Macaca mulatta: one gene and its partner. The protein of the gene in region 1 interacts with the protein of each later gene in a pairwise test. Links are inferred from orthologs where the notes say so. Each region holds a gene or a part of one and is shown in the gene's direction. Other genes may lie near its edges.

Region 1 (3,806 bases):
TTCCCTCCTGGAGGGTGAGATGACCCTTTGGAGGACCCTGGCTCCCCCACCTTCCCCTCTGCCACATGTCTGCTAGTGACCTCCACTAGAGATGGAATTCCAAGTCGGGTCCCTGCAGTCCAAGGACTGGGAAACGGCAGACAGCTGCCTCCCCTAGGCCTTGGTAGTGTTTCTGAAAGGATTCACCTGCTCTCTGGTGGGGGTGGGCTGTGAGTAGTCACTGGGGCAGTGGGGCAGTGGAGTGGCATTGCTTGACTCTTGCCCCATTTGTGACGGCATGTGCTGATCCCTTGAATGGAGTGTGGTACTGGGCCATTGGGTCGAGTCTAGAGGGAGACGGGGACTGTGACTTTGTCTGCAGCTCAGCATTGCCAAGAAACATGATCCACTGCTCCGGGAGTTCCAGGAGGGCCGCCTGCTCTTCCCACCCACCTACAAGTTTGATAGGAACTCCAACGACTATGACACCAGGTGAGGAGGAAGCGGGGCCAGAAGGTCTAAGAAGTCAGGTTACATTGGCCCTGCTGGCATGGGCACTGTCTCAGAATAGAAGTGTTAGGGGCCGGGAAGCCGTGTAGCCATCTCCTCTCCAGAGTGGCGCCTCCTGTCCACTTCATGAGGCACTGACTGGGGGAGCCGTCCCAGATCTCAGCGAGAGTGGGAGGGAACGCCAGTGCCGGCAAAGGCAGGAGAGGTGTGTGGGGGGTGGGGGTGTTATAGGTAGAACTAGAGGAGAGGGTGGAGCAGCCGCCTCCTGACCTAGGAGGGACTGCACGTCAGCTTCTGGAAACCCCAGACCTTCTGGTCCCCAAACAGGGCAGAAAGCTTGGGCCAACCAGTTACTGGTATTAAGGACCCTTGCCCCAGCCCGTGGGTGGGTCAGGTTCTGTGTGAGAAGGTGAAGTAGTGGGTAGAGAATTTCATCAGGATCAGTGAGATCATGAGTCTGGTGGTTAAAAGCACAGCTCTGTCTGACTTTAGACAAAGTGTTAGGCCTCGTTTTGTCATCTATAAAGTGTGGATGACACAGCAGACACCTCATGAGGCTGAGGATTGAAGAAGGCTGGCACCGAGTAACCATGGGAGAGAACTGCTATTGTGACTTTTAGATTCATGCCGGCTGGGCGTGGTAGCTCACGTCTGTAATCCCAGCACTTTGGGAGGCCAAGGCAGGTGGATCACTTAAGGTCAGGAGTTCCAGACCAGCCTGACCAACATGGTGAAACCCCATCTCTACTAAAACTTCAAAAATTAGCCGGATATGGTAGCGTGCGCCTGTAGTCCCAGCTACTCAAGAGGCTGAGGCAGGAGAATCGCTTGAACCCGGGAGGCGGAGGTTGCAGTGAGCCGAGATCTCACCACTGCACTCCAGTCTGGGTGACAGGCAAGACTCTGTCTCAAAAAAATAATTATAAAATAAATAGATTCATGTCTTCCCATCATAGATTTACTAAAAACCTTTCTAAGAAGCTGAGAAGGGGCCAAGTAACCATCAAAACCTGAGAAAGAACTTCTGGCAACATGTCCCTGACCCAGTTTGGGGCAAGGACCCTCATCTCTTTGAAGAAAGGAAGAGCCCCTTACATGTCATGAGGGTCTTTGTCCCAGCGGGAGCGGCTCGTTCATTCTCCGAGCGGGAGTGTGTCTGTGAGGGAGGCGGGAGGTGCCAGCAGGGCAGCCCAGGCCTTTGGGATTTAGCCAGTGCAGGACAAGAGGTAGAACTCAAGCTTGGTTCTGGAAGTGGTACAGCAAAGCCAAAATATCCTTGCCAAGGAAAGGGGGAAAGAGCGAGCTGACTGAGCAGTGTGGAGCAAGATAGGGTAGGGTTGTGAGCAGGGCCGTCCAGACAAGAGGAGGCAGCAGACGCTGGGGACGGGACCCACCCTGGGCAACAGAGCAGGCAGGAAAGGAGGTAAGAGGCCAGGCTGCGACAGGCTGGCCGGCCCAGACCGACAGCTGCAGGGAGACTGCCAGTCTCTGCAGCCATCCATTAGAAACAAGAGTCATGGTGGGAGCTGTAAGGACAGGCTGGGGCCTTGGGTGGGGAGAGGTTGCTTGAAGCCAGGAGTTCAAGACCCACCTGGGCAACATGGTTAGACCCTATCTCTACAAAAATTTAAAAATCAGCTGAGTGGGATATGCCTGTAGTCCCAACTACTCAGGAAACCTGAGGCAGGAGGATCACTTGAGCCCAGGAGTTAAAGGCTGCAGTGAGCTGAGATTGACCCACTGCACTCCAGCTGGGCAACCCTGTCTCAAAAAAAAAAAAAAAAAAATTCCTCTTTAAACACTTGCCAGCAGGAAGAGAGGTGCTGGCAGGCCCTATGGCCAGGTGGCCCCTTCTCCCAGCCCTGTGCCAGAGAGGTCTCCAGGAGACTGAAGTTTGTTGAAAAAGCTGGGTCTGGGCTGGAGTTGACAGGGTCTAAAAGGGTAGTGAGCTTTGGAGAAGTTCAAGGACTTCCCCAGGGAGCTCACCCAGTGAGTGGCAGAGCTGGGGCTCAGACTGATCTCTGAATCTATAGCCCACAGTGCTTTCGTCAAGCCCATTGTGCGTCAGGATTCATGGTCATCCTTGCCAGCAACAGCAAAAAGGATGGCACGGTGAGGAAGGCAGACTCCTGCTAAGGAGGAGGCACACACCTATTTCCAAATAACAGCTCACCGTGATTGGCGGACAGGCGTGCACCCAGGCTTTGCCTGTGTCAGTTCTTATCATGTCCTCTTTAGGTAGACAGTGTCACTATTGACTGTTTACACAGAAGGCAACTGAGTCTCAAAGAATATATAAGTAAGGAGCAGTAGACTTCATCACTGCATGAGGATTGGAACTCATATCTGTGTCTGTCGACTCATGAGCCTTCAGTACTTCCCTTTGGCTGGAGCCCAGGAAATGCAAGAATGTCCGGGCAAGAACAGGGGACATGGTAACTGAAATACTTCTGGCTGGGGCCAGGGTCCAGAGGCAGCTGGGAGTTCCTGCAGTGAGCAGGGCCTGAGCCCACCTGGGGCAGAGACATTCCTATCTAATGAAACTGTTATTTTATCCTTGAAAACCCAGTTGAGACATCACTTTTCCTAGGACGCCTTCCCCCATCTCACTGAGAGTTCCTTTCCTGCCCTGTGCCGCTCCCAGCCTTGCACACGCCATGCTCTCAGTGTTGCTTTTAAGCAACACTGTACCTTTTAAGCAACAGTGTACCTTTCTTACTGTACTGTGATGGCCCAGAGAGCAGAGACGATCTGATTTAGGACCATCCCTGGGAGTAGCACAGTGCCTGGCATATGTTACCAAGTCTGGGAATTAGTCAGTAGAAGGTTTCCAGAACTGCGTGCAGAAGGTTGGAGCAAATGTTAAGGAGGCGGACAGCTAACGCTAGGAGAGGCCTGTCAGACTTCCTGTCAGGAGAGTATCTTGAAGGAAGCACAGAGTTTGGCAGAAAGCAGAGGGCAGGCTTTCCAGTCAGACAGCACACTGACCAGAGGCACCTGCAGGGGCCGGTCTGATGAAGTGACCGAGCATGAGTGTGCTGGGCCAGCGACTACAGTGTTCCCAAGCCAAGATGTAATGAGAGGCTAGCTCCCTTATAGGGGAGGGCGAAAGGGCTGAGGGCAGGGTGGGAATCCTGCTAAAGTCCCGGATTACACTGGAGTTTTATTACAGTTGCCACTATGAGCCCAAACTGTTTTATTTTTTCCAGACAGAGTTTCCCTCTTGTTGCCCAGGCTGGAGTGTAACGGCATGATCTTGGCTCGGTGCAACCTCTGCCTCCCGGGTTCAAGTGATTGTCCTGCCTCAGCCTCCTGAA
Region 2 (4,270 bases), on another chromosome or scaffold:
CTGGCTGGTATCAAACTCCTGGCACAACTGGCCATACAATTGCTGAAGTCAGAAACCTGCTTGTTTTCTTGTCAGTCTTCTTTTCTTTTCTTTCTTTTGACATGGAGTCTTGCTTTGTCACCCAGGCTGGAGTGCAGTGGCGTGATCTCAGCTCACTGCAACCTCTGCCTCCCGGTTCAAGCGATTCTCCTGCTTCAGCCTCCTGAGTAGCTGGGATTACAGGTGCATGCCACCATGCCCAGCTAATTTTTGTATTTTTAGTAGAGACAGGATTTCACCATGTTGGCCAGGCTGGTCTCAAACTCCTGACCTTGTGATCCACCTGCCTTGGCCTCCCAAAGTGCTGGTATTACAGGTGTGAGCAGCCACGCCCGGCCTCTTGTCAGTCTATTTCTATTCCTCCTCCTCCTTGTAAATCAATCACCAAGTTATGTTCACTGGACCTCCTAAATATATCGAGTTACCCAATTATCTCCACCCCACTGTGACTACCCTAGCAGTTTAGGCTGCTTTCATCAAGTACTCAGGTAATTGCACTACCTCTAACTGGTATCCCTGCCTCCTCTCTTATCCTCTCTGTAATCCAATCTCTACCCTGCAGCCAGGGTAGAGATTATAAGATGTAAATTTAATCATGCCACTCTCCTACTTAAACCTTTCAAAGCTTCCCCATCTGACTACAGGATCAAGTCCAAACTCTCACATGGCTTACACAGTCCTGCCATGATCTGGCTCCTGTTGTTCACTACAGCCTTAACTCTTTATAATATGAACTCTTTTCATTCCTTGAACAGAGTATGCTCTTGTCTCAAGGTCTCCTGGAGCACTGGGCCCTCCTCTTTACCTTGCTGACTTATCCTACAGGTCACAGCTTCACACATTTCTTCTGGGACCACTCCTTCCCAGCCCCTACCCTCTCTGGGTCAGGCACCCTTGTTTTTCACTTCCACACCCCGTGTAAACCCTTCTGTATAATTCATCACATTGTATGGTATCTACAGGCAGTGAACCCCTTGAGTACAGGGTCCGCGCCTGGCTTGTTCTCCGCTGAGTCTCCAGCACCTAGGACAGGGCCTGGCACGAAGTAGGTGCACAGTGAGTAGTGAATGCTGGAGTGAATGGATGCGTGAGGGTTGGTGTCTTTTGGAAAGCAGCGCTCATTGGCTGAGAACGCCTGGGTTCTTGCTGGGCAAGGGTTAGGCGTATATTTGCCAGGGTGTTAAGGAAGGAACGGAGGGATCAAATCCCAACTCCACTTAGCCTCCCCAACACTGCCGTGGCGCCGCGCCTTTTTTCCGGCCCAACTGAACCGGAAGTGGAGGCGCGGGCTTCCCATGATGCCCCGCGGGACCTTTATTCTAACCGCAAGGAGTAAGGGGAGGAGGTCGTGATGGCGGCGCCGGAGGCGGAGGTTCTGTCCCCAGCCTCAGTCCCTGGTAAGGCGTGGGGCCCAGAGTTTGGGAAGCCTTAGGGACCCGTTTCTTCCCTACCTCCGCGCCCTCCATTTATCCCTTGGTCCTCTCCCTAGCCCATCTTCCCTGTCTTCCGGGTGTCCTACAAGGCTCTAGCTGTGACTCCATCGCCGTGGGTCGCACTGGACCCTGCTTGACTACACTTTTGACTCATTTCCCCAGATCAAGTCCCGCTGCTTTCTGAGCGGGGAGCCCTAGTTACTACCTCCGAAATACCCCCACTATCTTTCAGTCAATTAAATCTCCTCAGGCAACAGGGATCAGGAATCTCTCCCTGCCACGGCCCACACTGTAGGCTGCGGAGGGTATGGGCGTATGTCGGAGTGCCTGCTTTCTCAGGGTGGCTGGTTTGGTGGCCACAGGGAATGAGAAGACTGACTTTGGCTTTTAGGTTTTAAATTTTTCTCTCTTGTCCCTCTTTTCATCTACCAGATTTGGAGTGGTATGAGAAGTCAGAAGAAACTCACGCCTCCCAGATAGAACTGCTTGAGACAAGCTCTACCCAGGAACCTCTCAACCCTTCGGAGCCCTTTTGCCCAAGAGACTGCATAGTACCAGTGGTGTTTCCTGGGCCTGTAAGCCAGGAAGGCTGCTGTCAGTTTACTTGTGAACTTCTAAAGCATATCATGTACCAACGCCAGCAACTCCCTCTGCCCTATGAACAGCTTAAGAACTTTTACCGAAAACCTTCTCCCCAGGTAGGCACAGGCTTTGGGAGCAAGTTGGTGGGAAGACTTTGTGGCTCTTAGATGGGAGGCAGGTAGAAAGGGGGTCTAAGAAATCTTCAGAGCCTGAGAGACTAAGCAGCTTCCAGGGCTTCAGTCACTTTCTCCCCATTCTAGTCTTTGGTAGCCTAACCCTTCTGGCTTTTTCTCCTGTTCTTTCTTTCTGAAACTCGTGTTGCATTTGGTCTTAATGAACTGGCTCTTCGCATTTTTTTCTTTTGAGACAGAGTCTCGCTCTGTTGCCCAGGCTGGAGTGCAGTGGTGAGATCTTGGCTCACTGCAATCTCCCCCTCCTGGGTTCAAGGGATTCTCCTGCCTCAGCCTCCTGAGTTGCTAGGATTACAGGCTCCCGCCACCACACCCAGCTAATTTTTGTATTTTATGTTTTGAGACAGAGTCTTGCTCTGTTGCCCAGGCTGGAATGCAATGGCGTGATCTCTGCTCACTGCAACCTCTGCCTCCCAGGTTCAAGCGATTCTTGTGCTTCAGCCTCCCCAGTAGCTAAGAGCACGTGCCACCATGCCCGGTTTATTTTTGTATTTTTGGTACAGATGGAGTTTCACCATGTTGGCCAGGCTAGTCTCGAACTCCTGACCTCAAGTGATCTGCCCGCCTTGGCCTCTCCCAAAATGCTGGGATTACAGGCGTGAAATACTGCGCCCGGCCTGCATGTTTCTTTTTAATAGCATCCTGTTGTTGAATTTCTGTATGAACTTTTTTTTGCTTTGTTGTTTTTTTTTTTTTTGAGATGGAGTCTCACTTTGTCACCCAGGCTGGAGGAGAGTGGCACTATCGCAGATCACTGCAACCTCAGTCTCCCAGGTTCAAGTGATTCTCCTGCCTCAGCCTCCCAAGTAGCTGGGATTACAGGCATGCACCACCACACCTGGCTAATTTTGTTTGTTTGTTTGTTTTTGATAGGGAGTTTCATTCTTGTCACCCAGGCTGGAGTGCAGTGGCGCCATCTCGGCTCACTGCAACCTCTGTCTCCCAGGTTCAGGCGCTTCTCCTGTCTCAGCCTCCTAAGTAGCTGGGATTATAGGCATGCGCCGCCATGTCCAAATAATTTTTGTATTTTTAGTATAGACAGGGTTTCACCATGTTGGCCAGGCTGGTCTCGAACTCCTGACCTCAGGTGATCTGCCTGCCTCAGCCTCCCAAAGTGCTGGGATTACAGGCATGAGCCACCATGCCCAGCCTGTTTGTTTTCTGAGACAGAGTCTCGCTCTGTTGCCCAGGCTGGAGTGCAGTGGAGCGATTTTGGCTCACTGCAACCTCCACCTTCTGGGTTCCAAGCGATTCTCCTGCCTCAGCCTCCCAAGTAGCTGGGATTACAGGTGTGTACCACCACACCCAGTTAAATTTTGTATTTTTAGTGGAGACGGGGTATCGCCATTTTGGCTAAGCTGCTCTCAAACTCTGACCTCAAGTGATCTGCCCATCTTGGCCTCCCAAAGTGCTGGGATTACAGGTGTGAGCCACCACGCCTGGCTTACCCAGCTAATTTTTGTTTTTTTAGTAGAAACGGAGTTTCACCATGTTGGCCAGGCTGGTCCCAAACTCTTGACCTCAGGTGATCCACCTGCCTCAGTCTCCCGAAGTGGTGTTGGGATTACAGGTGTGAGCCACCGCACCAGGCCATGAACTTCTTTTGCCTGAGGATATTATTTAATTTTTGAAGTTTTTCTTTGTTCTTTGCGGCATCTCAGTTTCTTCTAGAATCCATTCTCCATTTGTTTTGTTCTGGTCTTTGACTTTCATGTTGGAGAATTTTATTGTGTCTGGTGAATATTTAAGAACAAATCACTGCAAGCTCTGTGTGCATGCCTGGGCCTTATGAGCTTATAGACTTCACTATAAGGAGATTAGGTGGCAACCTGGTGATCTCTTTGGGGGGATTCCTTAAACATAGTATTGGAAAGTCTTCCCTCTGGATGGGGGAGAAATTTGGCAGATGATCTAAGCATCTTGACACAGATTTTCATTCATTTCCCCTATATTCATTCTTGCCTCTGTGGTGCCTGTATCACCACTTCCTAAACCTTTCTGGGGTTCTGCTGTGTGTATCAGTTT

What was found.
Region 2: the proteins of INPP5K (region 1) and MAD2L1BP interact in binary tests that used the Homo sapiens proteins (3 or more experiments, as listed by UniProt). The link is inferred for Macaca mulatta from reciprocal best matches to the Homo sapiens genes INPP5K and MAD2L1BP.

What each region holds. Positions count from the first base shown.
Region 1 is NC_133421.1:3,055,457-3,059,262, reverse strand, and holds part of INPP5K (inositol polyphosphate 5-phosphatase K), read left to right. Parts: intron 1-361; coding exon 362-471; intron 472-3,806. UniProt on the Homo sapiens protein: Inositol 5-phosphatase which acts on inositol 1,4,5-trisphosphate, inositol 1,3,4,5-tetrakisphosphate, phosphatidylinositol 4,5-bisphosphate and phosphatidylinositol 3,4,5-trisphosphate.
Region 2 is NC_133409.1:138,483,151-138,487,420, reverse strand, and holds the start of MAD2L1BP (MAD2L1-binding protein), read left to right. Parts: upstream 1-1,371; 5' UTR 1,372-1,390; coding exon 1,391-1,436; intron 1,437-1,904; coding exon 1,905-2,170; intron 2,171-4,270. UniProt on the Homo sapiens protein: May function to silence the spindle checkpoint and allow mitosis to proceed through anaphase by binding MAD2L1 after it has become dissociated from the MAD2L1-CDC20 complex.